Linked DNA regions of Coturnix japonica. The protein of the gene in region 3 interacts with the protein of the main gene of each other region in a pairwise test. Links are inferred from orthologs where the notes say so. Each region holds a gene or a part of one and is shown on either strand. Other genes may lie near its edges. The genes, in order: ABHD17A, MELTF and HPGDS.

The links.
Region 1: the proteins of HPGDS (region 3) and ABHD17A interact in binary tests that used the Homo sapiens proteins (3 or more experiments, as listed by UniProt). The two-hybrid records come from large-scale screens. The link is inferred for Coturnix japonica from reciprocal best matches to the Homo sapiens genes HPGDS and ABHD17A.
Region 2: the proteins of HPGDS (region 3) and MELTF interact in binary tests that used the Homo sapiens proteins (3 or more experiments, as listed by UniProt). The two-hybrid records come from large-scale screens. The link is inferred for Coturnix japonica from reciprocal best matches to the Homo sapiens genes HPGDS and MELTF.

Annotation. Positions count from the first base shown.
Region 1 is NC_029543.1:1,377,741-1,381,850, reverse strand, and holds the start of ABHD17A (alpha/beta hydrolase domain-containing protein 17A), read right to left. Parts: upstream 2,915-4,110; 5' UTR 2,758-2,914; intron 1,640-2,757; 5' UTR 1,500-1,639; coding exon 1,186-1,499; intron 1-1,185. Other genes in the region: AN1-type zinc finger protein 5-like, read right to left, coding at 4,017-4,110. UniProt on the Homo sapiens protein: Hydrolyzes fatty acids from S-acylated cysteine residues in proteins. Has depalmitoylating activity towards NRAS. Has depalmitoylating activity towards DLG4/PSD95. May have depalmitoylating activity towards MAP6.
Region 2 is NC_029524.1:10,702,045-10,705,690, forward strand, and holds part of MELTF (melanotransferrin), read right to left. Parts: intron 2,973-3,646; coding exon 2,818-2,972; intron 511-2,817; coding exon 411-510; intron 1-410. UniProt on the Homo sapiens protein: Involved in iron cellular uptake. Seems to be internalized and then recycled back to the cell membrane. Binds a single atom of iron per subunit. Could also bind zinc.
Region 3 is NC_029519.1:32,915,349-32,919,563, forward strand, and holds the start of HPGDS (hematopoietic prostaglandin D synthase), read right to left. Parts: upstream 2,883-4,215; 5' UTR 2,762-2,882; intron 1-2,761. UniProt on the Homo sapiens protein: Bifunctional enzyme which catalyzes both the conversion of PGH2 to PGD2, a prostaglandin involved in smooth muscle contraction/relaxation and a potent inhibitor of platelet aggregation, and the conjugation of glutathione with a wide range of aryl halides and organic isothiocyanates.

The DNA.
Region 1 (4,110 bases), on a different chromosome or scaffold from region 3:
GCACTGTTGGACTTTTTGAGTCTATTTTTGGTTTAAAAAGCTGAGGATTTGGGGCCGTTCGCCCGATGGGGATTTTAAGTAATAATTCTGACAGCAGATCTTTCCTTTTTTTTTTCCCCTCTCCTGAGTCTGGCAACACACCAGACCTTGGGAGAGAGAGAAGCGAATTGTGGGAGTGACAAGGCACAAGAAATTTCCACCATAAGGGGAAAAACAACGTTCATCATCCAAATTAACACGAAGAACAGGCGCGTGGGAGCTCAGCTGGGGGAGGCAGTGCAGCCCACTCCTCCCCCAGCCCCTCACTATGGGGGGAGACGCCTCTGATTCAGCTCCTTGTGTGGTGATGGACCACCCCAAAGTGGGGATGGAGTGACTCCCCGGCAGGAAGGCAGCAGCAGGATGGAGATGGGACCTTCCTGGGCCTGTGTGTCATCCACCACTTCCGCAGGCAGATGGGGAGCGGGGCCAGCAGCGGATGTGCAGGCAGAGCAATCCCGTGGCTGTTTCCTCTCCCTGGAGATGCACAGCAGGACAGGATGGGAGCAGACAGCCCTGCCAGCAGCCTGCATGTCCCAGGTACACCTGGCACATTGCGTGGGGCCAGGCAGAGCACGCAGGCTTTGCAAAGCCCAAACTTAGCTCTGCCCCACTCACATCTGGGCCTCATGGAGGCAGCAGGGACAGCGCTGTCACAGTGAGAACAATCTATGCACCAAATTGAACTCTTCCTCCCTTACAGACCTATGGGGTGGTCTGTGACAAGCTGGACCCTGATCCCTTCTGCCTTCTGATCCTATTGTTCTTCTAAACATGCCCACTAAGTGAGAGAGCCACACCAACACAGCTTGCCCCAGGGCTGGGGGCTGCAGACCATCCCCGTGGTCTCTGTAGGGTCAGAGGTTTGTTTGGGCTCTACAGAAGCTTTGCAACCAGAGCACGACATCATCAGTGTGACATCAGAAGGGCACGTCGAGGACAGCCTCAGCCAGGAGGGGACACTGAGGTCCCTGTAGCCTGCAGCTGCACCCCGACTCCCTCCTTCAACCTGTTCAGTCCCATTCCCGATTGCAACCACAAGCCAAACAGGTTCCTAGAGCTGAGCTCACCCACCCCGCAGCACGGCGCCGGGTCGGGCCGGGCAGGGAGGTGGCATCCAGCAGGAGCCCCAGGCCCAGCACTCACCTGGCTCCTGGCACGCAGCGGACGTACATGCAACCGATGCGGTTCCCTCGGCTGCTCTTAGTGACAAACACCTCAATGTTGTCCAGCTCCCGTTGGGAATACTGGAAATCAGCCCGATCCTTCAAATGAAGCTTCCACCGCCCCGCAGCGCCGCCTCGGAGGGACCCGGTGCTGGTGCTGCCGATGGGCTCCGGCTCAGGGACCACGGCGTAGGTGGGCTCCGGGGGCAGGAAGGCCAGCTTGGCAGCGATGCGGCTGGGGCATGGCGGGCAGCAGAACAGCCAGCACAGCTGGCTGATGGACAGCCCGTTCATGATGGAAGCCGTGCTGGGAGCAAGGCAGGATCCAAAGCAATGCTGGGACGCCCCTTCCTTACCACGGCAGCCAGATGTGTGGGGCAGCCTGCAGTCCCTCAAGGGTCGGGGCGGCCGCCATCCGTGTGCCTGCAGGCAGCCTGCAAGGAGCAGGAGGACACAGATCACATCAACAAGCCGAGGGTTACACCGTGCCAATGCTTTGGACACCCCCACGTTCCTGTTGAGCCCCCCCTGCATCAAACCCATCCTCCAACACCTCCCAAGCAACCCAGCCCACGCACAGGACCCTGCAGAGCACAGTGAGGTGAGCACAGCGGGATTGGGAGCACAAACAGCTGCACATACAGCTCTGCCCCTCATCCCCCCCCCCAAATACACACACACACACACATGATGCTGGCGAGGGCCCCAAAGCACGCGTGTGCAGCTGGAGCACAGAGCTCCTAATGTAAGAAAAGGGGGGGAAAGGGGAAGGGAGGGGAAAAGAGAAAAAAAAAAGCGACTATTTTCTGCAAGTTTGGGCACAGGCTCCAGGCTGAGGAATGTCAGAGCAGCCCACACCCCGCGGGGCTCAACACAGCTGCCTCCAAAGGGCTGGGAATGAGGAGGATGGGGGGCACACAAGGGGATGCAGCCCCGACCCCTGCCCACCCCCCTCATGCTGGGGGTCTCCCTGTGCTCACAGCTGCGGGGCCACGCGTGTGTGTGACATGGGCAGGCGTGTGTCCACGCAGCAGAGGCAGGCGATGAACACACGGCTGTGCTTGCACACGCCTGTATGGTGCCCTCACCTGTGTCACCGCATGGCCAAGGGGGGGGGATGGGGATATAGGGGATATAAGAGGGGATATAGGGGATATAAGGGGGGATATAGGGGATATAAGGGGGGATATAGGGGATATAGGTGGGGGTGTTGGGTGCAGTGCCTGCTGGGTGTACACACTGACAGCCACCCTCACCCTACAGAGGGTCGCACAGACATCACAGTGGGGGGTGGGGGTACATCCCCCCCTCCTTCAGGCCCAGTCCCCGCTCCCTATTGCCCCTCTACAGCCCTATACGAGCCTCAGGCTGAGCCAGACCTATGGGGCAGGGGGGCACCGGGACCCCCATAGCACACAGAGCCCCCCCAGCCCCACACCATGCACAGACGGGCCCCCCCTCCACCCCACATCCCCCCACTTCAGCGCACACAGCGGACCCCCCGACCCCCCCCATCTCCCTCAGACCCCCCCATCCCCACACCCCCCTATACCTGCACATCCCGGGGTCTCTCGCCGCCCCCCCCTCCCTGCTGGTTGCTGTTACGGGACTCCCGGTCGCTGCGGGCCGCCGAGGCGGGGGCGGCGCTGGAGCTGCATGGCGGCCCCCCCCCAAACTCCGCCCACCGCCGGCGCGCCGGGAAGTGACGGAAGTGACAACAGCATTGCGTAGCATTGCATTGCATTGAGCTGCATTGCATTGCATTGCACTGCATTGCATTGCACTGCACTGAGCGCTCCCCCCCCGCAGTGCTGGCACCTTCCCAGCGCTGCATGGTTGCCTTCCTGCAGCGTGGAGCTCAGGCTGCCAATCAATGGGGAAGGTTCTCTCCCTATAACTCCTGCATAGCTCCACATTTCCACCGTGGGGTTCCTCTGCATTGCAATCTTTGATGCAATGGGGCTTCAGCATAATGCAGCAATGCCAACCCTCCTTCCACCCCATTGCTTCAGTTCCCTTCCCCAGAGCCTCAATGTTTGCTCTCATGTCCCCCAAAGCCCCCCATATATCCTCCCTTCCCCAGGTGAATAGCCTCCATTCACACTTTGCTCCCCCCACCAATGGCCCCCCTTGTGCTTCTCCTCCCACCCCACAGCACTATTTGCTTCCAGGCCCTGACCTGTGTCACTGCAAGCCACAAAATAACTTTACTGTGCCATACTCTGCAGCTTAACGATGCAGTTGCTTCAACAACAGCTTCTCAAAGGGTGGGGGAAAAAAGGGGGGTGTGGGGGTTGGGAGCTTTCAAACTACAGAATCCTCTTTGCTGCATCTGAGACCAAACAGCTGTTGGGGAGCAGGGCTGGGATCGCTGCTGGGACCCCTCAGCTCTGCAGCCATTGTGGGAAGGAGGGGAGTGGGGTGGAGGGAGGGGAGTCTGGAGGCAGCTCGGAGCTCCAGCCGTGAGTCCCAGGCAGTCTGCAGGACCTGGAGCCGTGGGACGAAGGGGTGGGTTGGATGGGGAGCAGGAATGCTGTGGTCTCAGTGCTGCAGCGGGTGAGGCAGAATCGGGCCCGTGTCCTCGTGAAAGCTGGACTGAAATGGATCTGCTGAGCCCTGAAGGGTTGAAGGGAGAGGAGGAACACCATGCTTCTGTCAAGGAGGTGCAAGGAGTATCCCGGTCTGGGTGCTGGTTTGCGTGTGCTGCTGGATCCCCATATCCACTGACGGGGCTGGGAGGAGGGGGGAAGGCTGGGAGGACGGGGAGGAGCACCAGGCTGCCAGGCTGGAGTTCGAGCTGCTCGGCCCCGTTCACAGCTTCTGGATCTTCTCAGCTATAACGACGGGGTTCTCCTTCCGGATCTTCTCAGCAGCTTCTGCCTTGTAGTCGTAGGGGCAGGCGTGC
Region 2 (3,646 bases), on a different chromosome or scaffold from region 3:
GTTTAATTCTCTTCGTCTATTGTTTTAGATAATTCATAGCATTAAGACTTAAGGATCTTAAGAGACCGTGAAGTCACTTAATCTGACTTACGTGGATCAGAAGCCACTCAGTCCATTCATCTCTGACTAGTGCTCAAAACCTAACAGAGACAGACAGACACTGGACTGTGAAGACATTTTGTTTTGAGCACTCAGTGTCATGATGTACTTAGTGGTGGGGCTGGGCTGCTGCCCTCTGTTCCCCATTTCCTCCCATACTCTATAATGAACAGGAATATCCACTAGTGAACCAAAGACCTGGAGTTCAGGGTCTTCAAGTAAAGGATCCCAAAATAAAATAGAAACAGTAGAAATGCATCAGAAAATAAACTTGTATTAAGTAACCCAAGAGTTTTTTAGTCTGATTATACCTTGATTATAAACTTCCCCAACCACAGGTTTCAGGCCATGCTCCTTTCCAGCCTGGTAAATCCATCGACCATCCAATGTCACCGCATCTGCCAAGTAATCCTGTGCAGACACAAGGTAAGAATGCATGTTGAAGCTTAGAATTATGCTGGATTTTAAGTAGGCACAGATAGGGCCGTCCACAGCAGCAAGGAGAAAACTGCTACACATCCTCCTGCTCTACAGAACCTGTGTTATCTGTTCATTGTGTACTGAACCTGGTGCCCAGGAGACAGCATCTCCAACAAGCTGAGAGATGGCCAAGAAAACAATCAGCAGATTGACATTTTGCATTTCTAAGGTGATGCCAAGCTTCTTACCATTTTGCTTTACCTCTGGTTCAGAACCAGAAAGGGTAGTAGGCAGTATCACTTGGCATTATGCTGAGCATTGGTTAGGGTAGGGCTAGGACTAGTAGAAAGCTATTTTCCCCAGGCTGAGACACATAAAATGTGACAAGGGATCATCTGAGAGTGTTGACAATACACTCTGGAACCTATGTCAGATTTGAAGATGTCATGTAATTTGAAGCATATAACTGAATTGTCTCAAATGAGAAAAAAGTTACTGATTAGCTGAAACATTAGATGTCTTGAGAGCTGTTTCTTATGAATGAAAGTTGAACCAATTTCCAGGAGAACCTGTAGAGTAGTTCAAGCTGGGAGATGTTCGCATCTTAAAGAACAGAAGCAGTCTGGAATAACCTGATCCAATATTCCATTGGGGAGAGTCAGGGCCCAGGACAACAATTTGGGAACCAAACAGAGTCTGCTGTTTAGCAGAGATACCTGACAGCAGGAGGAATTGGGAGTCAGAAAGACCTGACCCACAGGGAAAACAAAATGAGCCTCTGGAAGTGGTGGTGAAAAGAAAGCATAGCAAATAGAATAGGATGGGTTGCCCACAGGAGACCAGGACTGTACTATGTGTATATTATTTTTCCATCAAAGACAGTAGTAGTTTTACAGGCTACAGACTTCAGCTCCTTTAAGTACATACTGCGATAGCAGCTGAAGCGGAATAGCAAGAATAGCGTGGGTATTTCTGTTTGTAGCAAAGATCTTCCCATACACCCAGCAAAAGCATGAGACAATCCCACATGTGATTTCTGACACAGATGCAATGGGAATGTAAGTTAATTATTTTCAGAAGGACTTTATTTCTGTGTGTCACAACACTCGAGAATTACCTACAGAGGTGCTTAATCACCTACTAATAAGTATGGCCAAATTAAACATTATCAGGTTCCTGAGTTTAATATTTAGACATTTCTCAATTTCTAAGGATCTTCAAAGAAAAATACTTTATCCATATGCTAACATGTTCACAGAACTAAGTCCAGGTTGGGTAGTGCTATAAAACAGCATATCTTTGTCTGCTGAGCCAGAGTTTCCCACCCCCCTTTTTGGCCTCAAAGAGCAGAGTTCAGCACAGATGCAGAGTCAGGTGTTCCATGCAGCCCTTAAGCTACATCTTAAGCACATAGTAGATTATTAGCACAGAAAGAAGAGGTGTCAAGGACCTTGCCTGAAGCCTTATAGTGAAGATCCACCTTATCAGAAAGCCACTTACTCATGCTATCCACCTGCAGGTTTCTGAGTTCAGCTAATCAAGTTTTACAACAGCAAGCACAAAGAGTTATTAACATATCCAGTCATCTTCCCCTTCCCTCACACTTTTCCAGGGAAGACAGTTGTGATCACCCACCTCCACATTTCCTTCAATTTCCACTTGTTGTTTCTCACTCCCTCCTAAGGAGGGAATTGTTTTCCAAACACCATTTTGCAAAGCTGAGCTTTTTGTCCAAACAGAGCATGCTGAATTAATACAGTTGGATTTGCATGCCTTCTGCTCACTGCTCTGACTACCCCACGTGCCCTGTTTGGTACTGGGAGATTTGGCTCGACACTCATTGGTATAGACAACAACTGCCATGGTGAGGCTCTGAAAAAGGAGAATTACGCAGTTTCCCTGCAGACAATCTACTTAAAGGCTCAGCAGCACAGCTTTAACTGCTGTCTCCATCCTACTACTCCACCCCTTCTTAAGTATCTGCTAAATAAATCTAATACAATTCCCAAATCAAAGATTAGTGCTTCAGAAAGAACGTTTAAGATCTTTGCTTGTGTTCCTAATGACTGGCCATATGTGACTAGCTGTAGAGAAGACACAGTGCCATGCTGGAATTCAGTTCCAGATGTACATTTTAATGTCTTTTAAAAAGAAATGTATATATGCTTTGATTTTCCAAAGACATGAATGCCATAAAGCTGATTGGATGAGACGTTCACTGCTCTGTACATTGCAATGTGATTTATTATTAAGCACACAGGGAAATTAAATCACTGACGTCTATCGTTTATAACTCACCTTGATCATCTGCGTGCAGTTAGCAGCTGATTCTCCCTCCACGCATTCCAAAGCGGGAAGGATGCCAGCCCCAGCAAAGGCCTTACTCATGTCCTTACACTTGGAAAGCTCTTGGTTAGACACTGTGCACCACCGCACACGTTCCAGGCTGAAAGCTGCAAACACAACAGCAAGAGGAAATGTTACTACAAAAGAGAGAACAGTTCAGCAGTGAGCTTTCACACTTCTGCTTTCATTCAGATTAACAAGAATACTAGAGTTATTTGGACTAGCAACAGGTCCAAGTCTGATACTGAAACTTGATGGAATTTATGACACAAGAAACAAGGGTACTCTGGAGCAGGTCACTGAGGACAGCTTGCTCATAAAGTCTTGAAGAATATACCATGGAGAGGATTGAGAGGGAATCTTATCACTGCTTACAAATACCTTGTGGGCAGGTGCCAAGTGGATGGGGCCAGGCTGTTTTCCATAGTGCCCAGCAACAGAACAAGGGGCAATGGGCACAAACTGGAACACAGGAAGTTTCATACGAACACAAGGAACAATATCTTTAGTTTGAGTGTTACAGAGCAGGGACAGGCTGCCTGGAGAGGTGCTGGAGTTTCCTCTGGAGATACTGAAGATCCACCTGGATGCTTTCCTGTGCAACCTGCTGTAGGGAACCTGCTTTAGCAGGGGGTTGGACCAGATGATTTTGAGAGGTCCCTTCCAACCCATGGGATTCTGTGAAATCTTTTTATTAACCATCAGATGCTGCAGGTTTCTGAATTTCTGTGCCAGCGTTCTTTTCACAGAAGGGCACAGTCCTGGCTTTGAGAAGCTCAGG
Region 3 (4,215 bases):
GTCAAAATAAAACAATGCTGCAGACATCAACTGGTGGACGTCTCCAGAACTGCCCACCAGATCTTCTTTACCCTCTTGCTCTGCTCTGGAGTGGTGGCACACTTTGCTCTGTCAGACCCAGTGCTCTTATTTTCTGATTGCAGTGGTGTCTTTCCAGTTAATTTGATGTTAATTTCACAGCAGAATGAGCCAGAGGAGACAAAGGGTTAAGGTGCTCCTTGGACTTCGCTGGTCTTGTCCAACAGACTGGTAATGAGAAGTGTGGACCTATAGCTCTGAGCAATACTTGGTCTAACGGCTGGGGATCACCTACATCTGGTGGTAAATGTCCAGTTTCTACTGACTTATGCTCACCAACTGCTTGACATGTAAAGCCTCAACCTATCTGTTGCTACACTTGAGAGTAATGCACTTACTGAGCAGTAATTTTCAGCCATTTTAGTTTTTTATAATGGAAGCCACAGGCACTGGGACAGTGCTAATGATTGTGGGTTCCTTGGTCTGTGCCCAGGTCTTGGTACAAAATACTTATCTGAAGCAAGCAGCTAGAGACTTGTGTTCTTTTTGGCTGGCAAGTTATTGTACCACAGCAAGTTTGTAAAGCACTCCTACTTTTTGTACATCCTTATGTGTTATCATAGAAAGGTTTGGGATGGAAGGGACCTCAAGGATCATCAAGTTCTAACCTCCTACCATGGATAAAGATGCCAACTGCTAGACCAGGCACTAGGCTGTGCCGCCCTGGGCCCCATTCAGCCTGGCTTTGAATACTTCCAAGGATGTTACATCCACAGCTTGTCTGGGCAACCTGCACCAGTACCTCAGGAGTTTCTCTGTGGAAAAACTTCTCCCTGACATCTAATTGATGTATCCCCTCCTTCAGCTTAAAACAATTTCCCCTTGTCCTGTTCTGATCTATCCATGTAAAATGTTGATTTTTCTCCTGTTTATAATCTCCCTCTAAACACTGAAAGGAGACTTGCTTCTACTCAAGCTCGGCTCAGCACAAGACTATATGGAGTATCCTGACGTTAATTATCTGGGAGCAGGAGTAGGCAGAGGTAGACCATGAAGGTCCACTCTTCCACCTCCACAAATACCACCTGGTACAAAATAGGCAGGTGGTATCACAGGATTCCTCTGTCATTTGTTACCCAGATCCAAAGCATAGAAACATCTGTCTGTTATTAGCTGAATGCCCTTGTTTTTTCTCCTATTTAATTTCAGGCTCTTACTTTTAAAGAGTCATTCCAGCACTATTTTCCAGTCTCTTCTAAGGAGGGGCAACACTAAGTATTTAACTTTCTCAGTTCATTGCTATAGTTTATTTTATGGGAGTGCTAGTAGTTGGACTCCAGATACGTGAAGTTGTTTACACTGTGTATGAGCTGTGTGGGTATGGCAGATTCTATTTATTTTCCTCCTGGATTAACTAGTAACAGGGTGAATACGTTTGATTATTTGAAGTTTGCAGCCTGCATGATAAGCCTCCATATATTCATGTGCATATCTTTCAGCAGCATGGCATGCCAATTGTTAATCAGCAAGTGGCACACCAACCTAACCAGCAATGGCTGCTAGTGTAATAAATTGCTAGTGTGATTTTGCTCAAAAGTGATCCATATTTTCAACAATTTCTGCTTTCTAGCAGCTGAGCAGGAGGCTGTGCATGAGAAACAGCTACTAGAAATCTTGAGCAAACCCTGAGATTACAGGCTATCTCCATCAGTGGTGTAGGTGTTCACTACTTTGAGGACAACACATTTGTATCTGCACAAAACTGGAATTCAAGAAGTCATCTTGTCTAATGGATGGCTTTCAGCAGAGAAAATATGCCCAGGACAATTATGCACACAGACAAATGAAGGCAGCAAGATTTTAAAGACAAAAATCCTGGACAGATACTTAGAGAATCCTTTTGAAGTAGAAGATAAAAACTGTGTTTTCGAATGGAGAAAAATACATTAAGTAGAAACAGTTACAGAAGGATTTCTTCCATAAAATAATGGTAGGAATTAGAATGAGAGCCAGAGAACAGGTGGGAATTTGGAAAACGAATAGAACAGTGAGTAAAAATGATCTAGAGGAACTGGTTAGTGCTGCTTAATATGTATCTAATTCTCTGACATTAGCCTAGATTTGTTTTGGTTACATAAGCAAGTGCATGTGTTAGTCATTACATCTAGCAGAATATTGCTCAAAAATGCTCTCTTGCTTACTGGAAGCCCTCTGCAGAGCCTTGCATGCTTAACCCATGTTAGTTTTTTATGTATTTTTTGCCTTTTGAATGCATTGCTCTGACAGTTATCTGAAGTGAGAGCTGCTCAGTGCTGATTGCATCAGCTACTAATGAGAGATGGGGACTTGCTGCAGTCTGCAGAAGATATAACTGATCTGATAGAAGATATCTGAGAAGATATAGCTGAAGCTTGTTTGTGGCAGTGCGAACATCTATACAGGTGTCAAAAGTACAGGTGGAAGCTTAATTATGTTTGTAAGCAGCTAAAAGGGGGGTATATAGTGCAGCTGAATTGTAGAGCTCAGGGTTATCCCTCAGCATGCCAGCAAGCATCAGCCATAGAAGTTCAATAAACTTAACAAAATTATAAAAATGAGGTACTCTCAGAACTTGTCATTCAAATAGTGTGATTTTCAGACAGCAAATACTGTGCAGCTTCTTAAGCAGCAGAAGGAGATCAGGAGAAGAAAGTGGGAAGAAGAGAAACTATATTGCAGTAAGCAAAGCTGAAATAGGACTCACTTGGCTGCAGTGGTGCAGTCTCTTCGTCGGTGCACAGGAGGTGCTCTGAAGGCTGGCCCTTGTGGGAAAGGCTTACATATAGTGTTTGTTAACATGCAAACCACTCCCCCAGTGACAACTCTGCCGATCCTGACTCTTTCACACTATCTCGCAAGGCAAATGCATCATTTCCTTGGGAAAGAAGCAAGCCTGGGGACTTTTAAAAAAATAATTATTAACTATTACACTGAGACAGAAGATTGTTTTATTTACTTATTTATTTATTTAATTAAGGAGGGAGCAAGGTACACAATGTGTCTTTGATCTTTAACAGAAAGCCCTTCAGCTCTGACTGAGTTAAAGGACAAGAATTTAAGTGGCTGTTATTACGTTAAAACACAGGAGACAAATAAGAAAAACAAACAAACAAATAAAGCAAATTCAACTTCCAAGTGCTTTCATAAAGAGATTTGGGAGCTTCTTACTGTTAACAGTGAAGGGGGAGAAAGGGGATTCTAGTGAACTTTGCACATAAATAACACATGCTAGTACTCTGCACTCTGTTACTGTTCTTATCACTTGTGGAAATTAGGGGTGTTTGTTTTTTTACGTAAATAATGCTTAAATATCTGAATGATTTCATAAAAATATTAACATGACCTTTTATCCTTTGTCCCAATGGTGAGCAAGGCTGAATACTAATACTTATGAACTCTTTCATATAATCCACGATTAATTATTGTTTTTTTTTAATTTCACTGTTCTGTTTTCTGAAACAAACATTAGAGGATCATTATTTTGTACCATTACCTGTTTTAAAGCCATTCTCCATTGTCCTGTCACTAACAGATTGTGGAAGAAGTTGATCCCCTTCCTGCTGGTAAGTTCCCTTCAAGTACTGGCAAAGCTGCAATGGGTTCTCCACAGAGCCTTCACTTTTTTAAGCTAAATAAGCTCAACTCCCTCAGCCTCACTCCTATGAAGATAGGAGCGGTTCTCTGGTTTTTACAGCATTTTGCACTGGAATGAACTCACTTGAATATGAGATAATATCAAAGTCTAAACTATGAAGTACAACACTGCATTGTTCTACCAACTGCAGAGGATCAGAAAGTTGAACAAACTCAGTGACCAGTATTTTCCCTTCAAAACTGCAGAAGAGAGAAAATGGGGTAAGCTTTTGTCCTGTCAATTAATGATCAACTGTCTTCCTACCTGGTTTTCATTAGGGGTTTTAAAAACTTCGAGTCATCTCCAGTTTGTGGAGTGTCAAAGAATGTGCAAATTCATTGTAGTTGGCTTGCAATGCCAGTGCACAGACCAGAGTGTGTCTTTCTCCAAAGGGCCTGCTCTAAAGAAAAGTGACAAGGTAAAGAAGGGCAGCAGAATCCAATTTTATATATATATATACAATTTTTTATTTTTTTTTTAAAGCTTTTCAAATAAGCTGAGCAGTCATGAGAAGGAAGATCTGC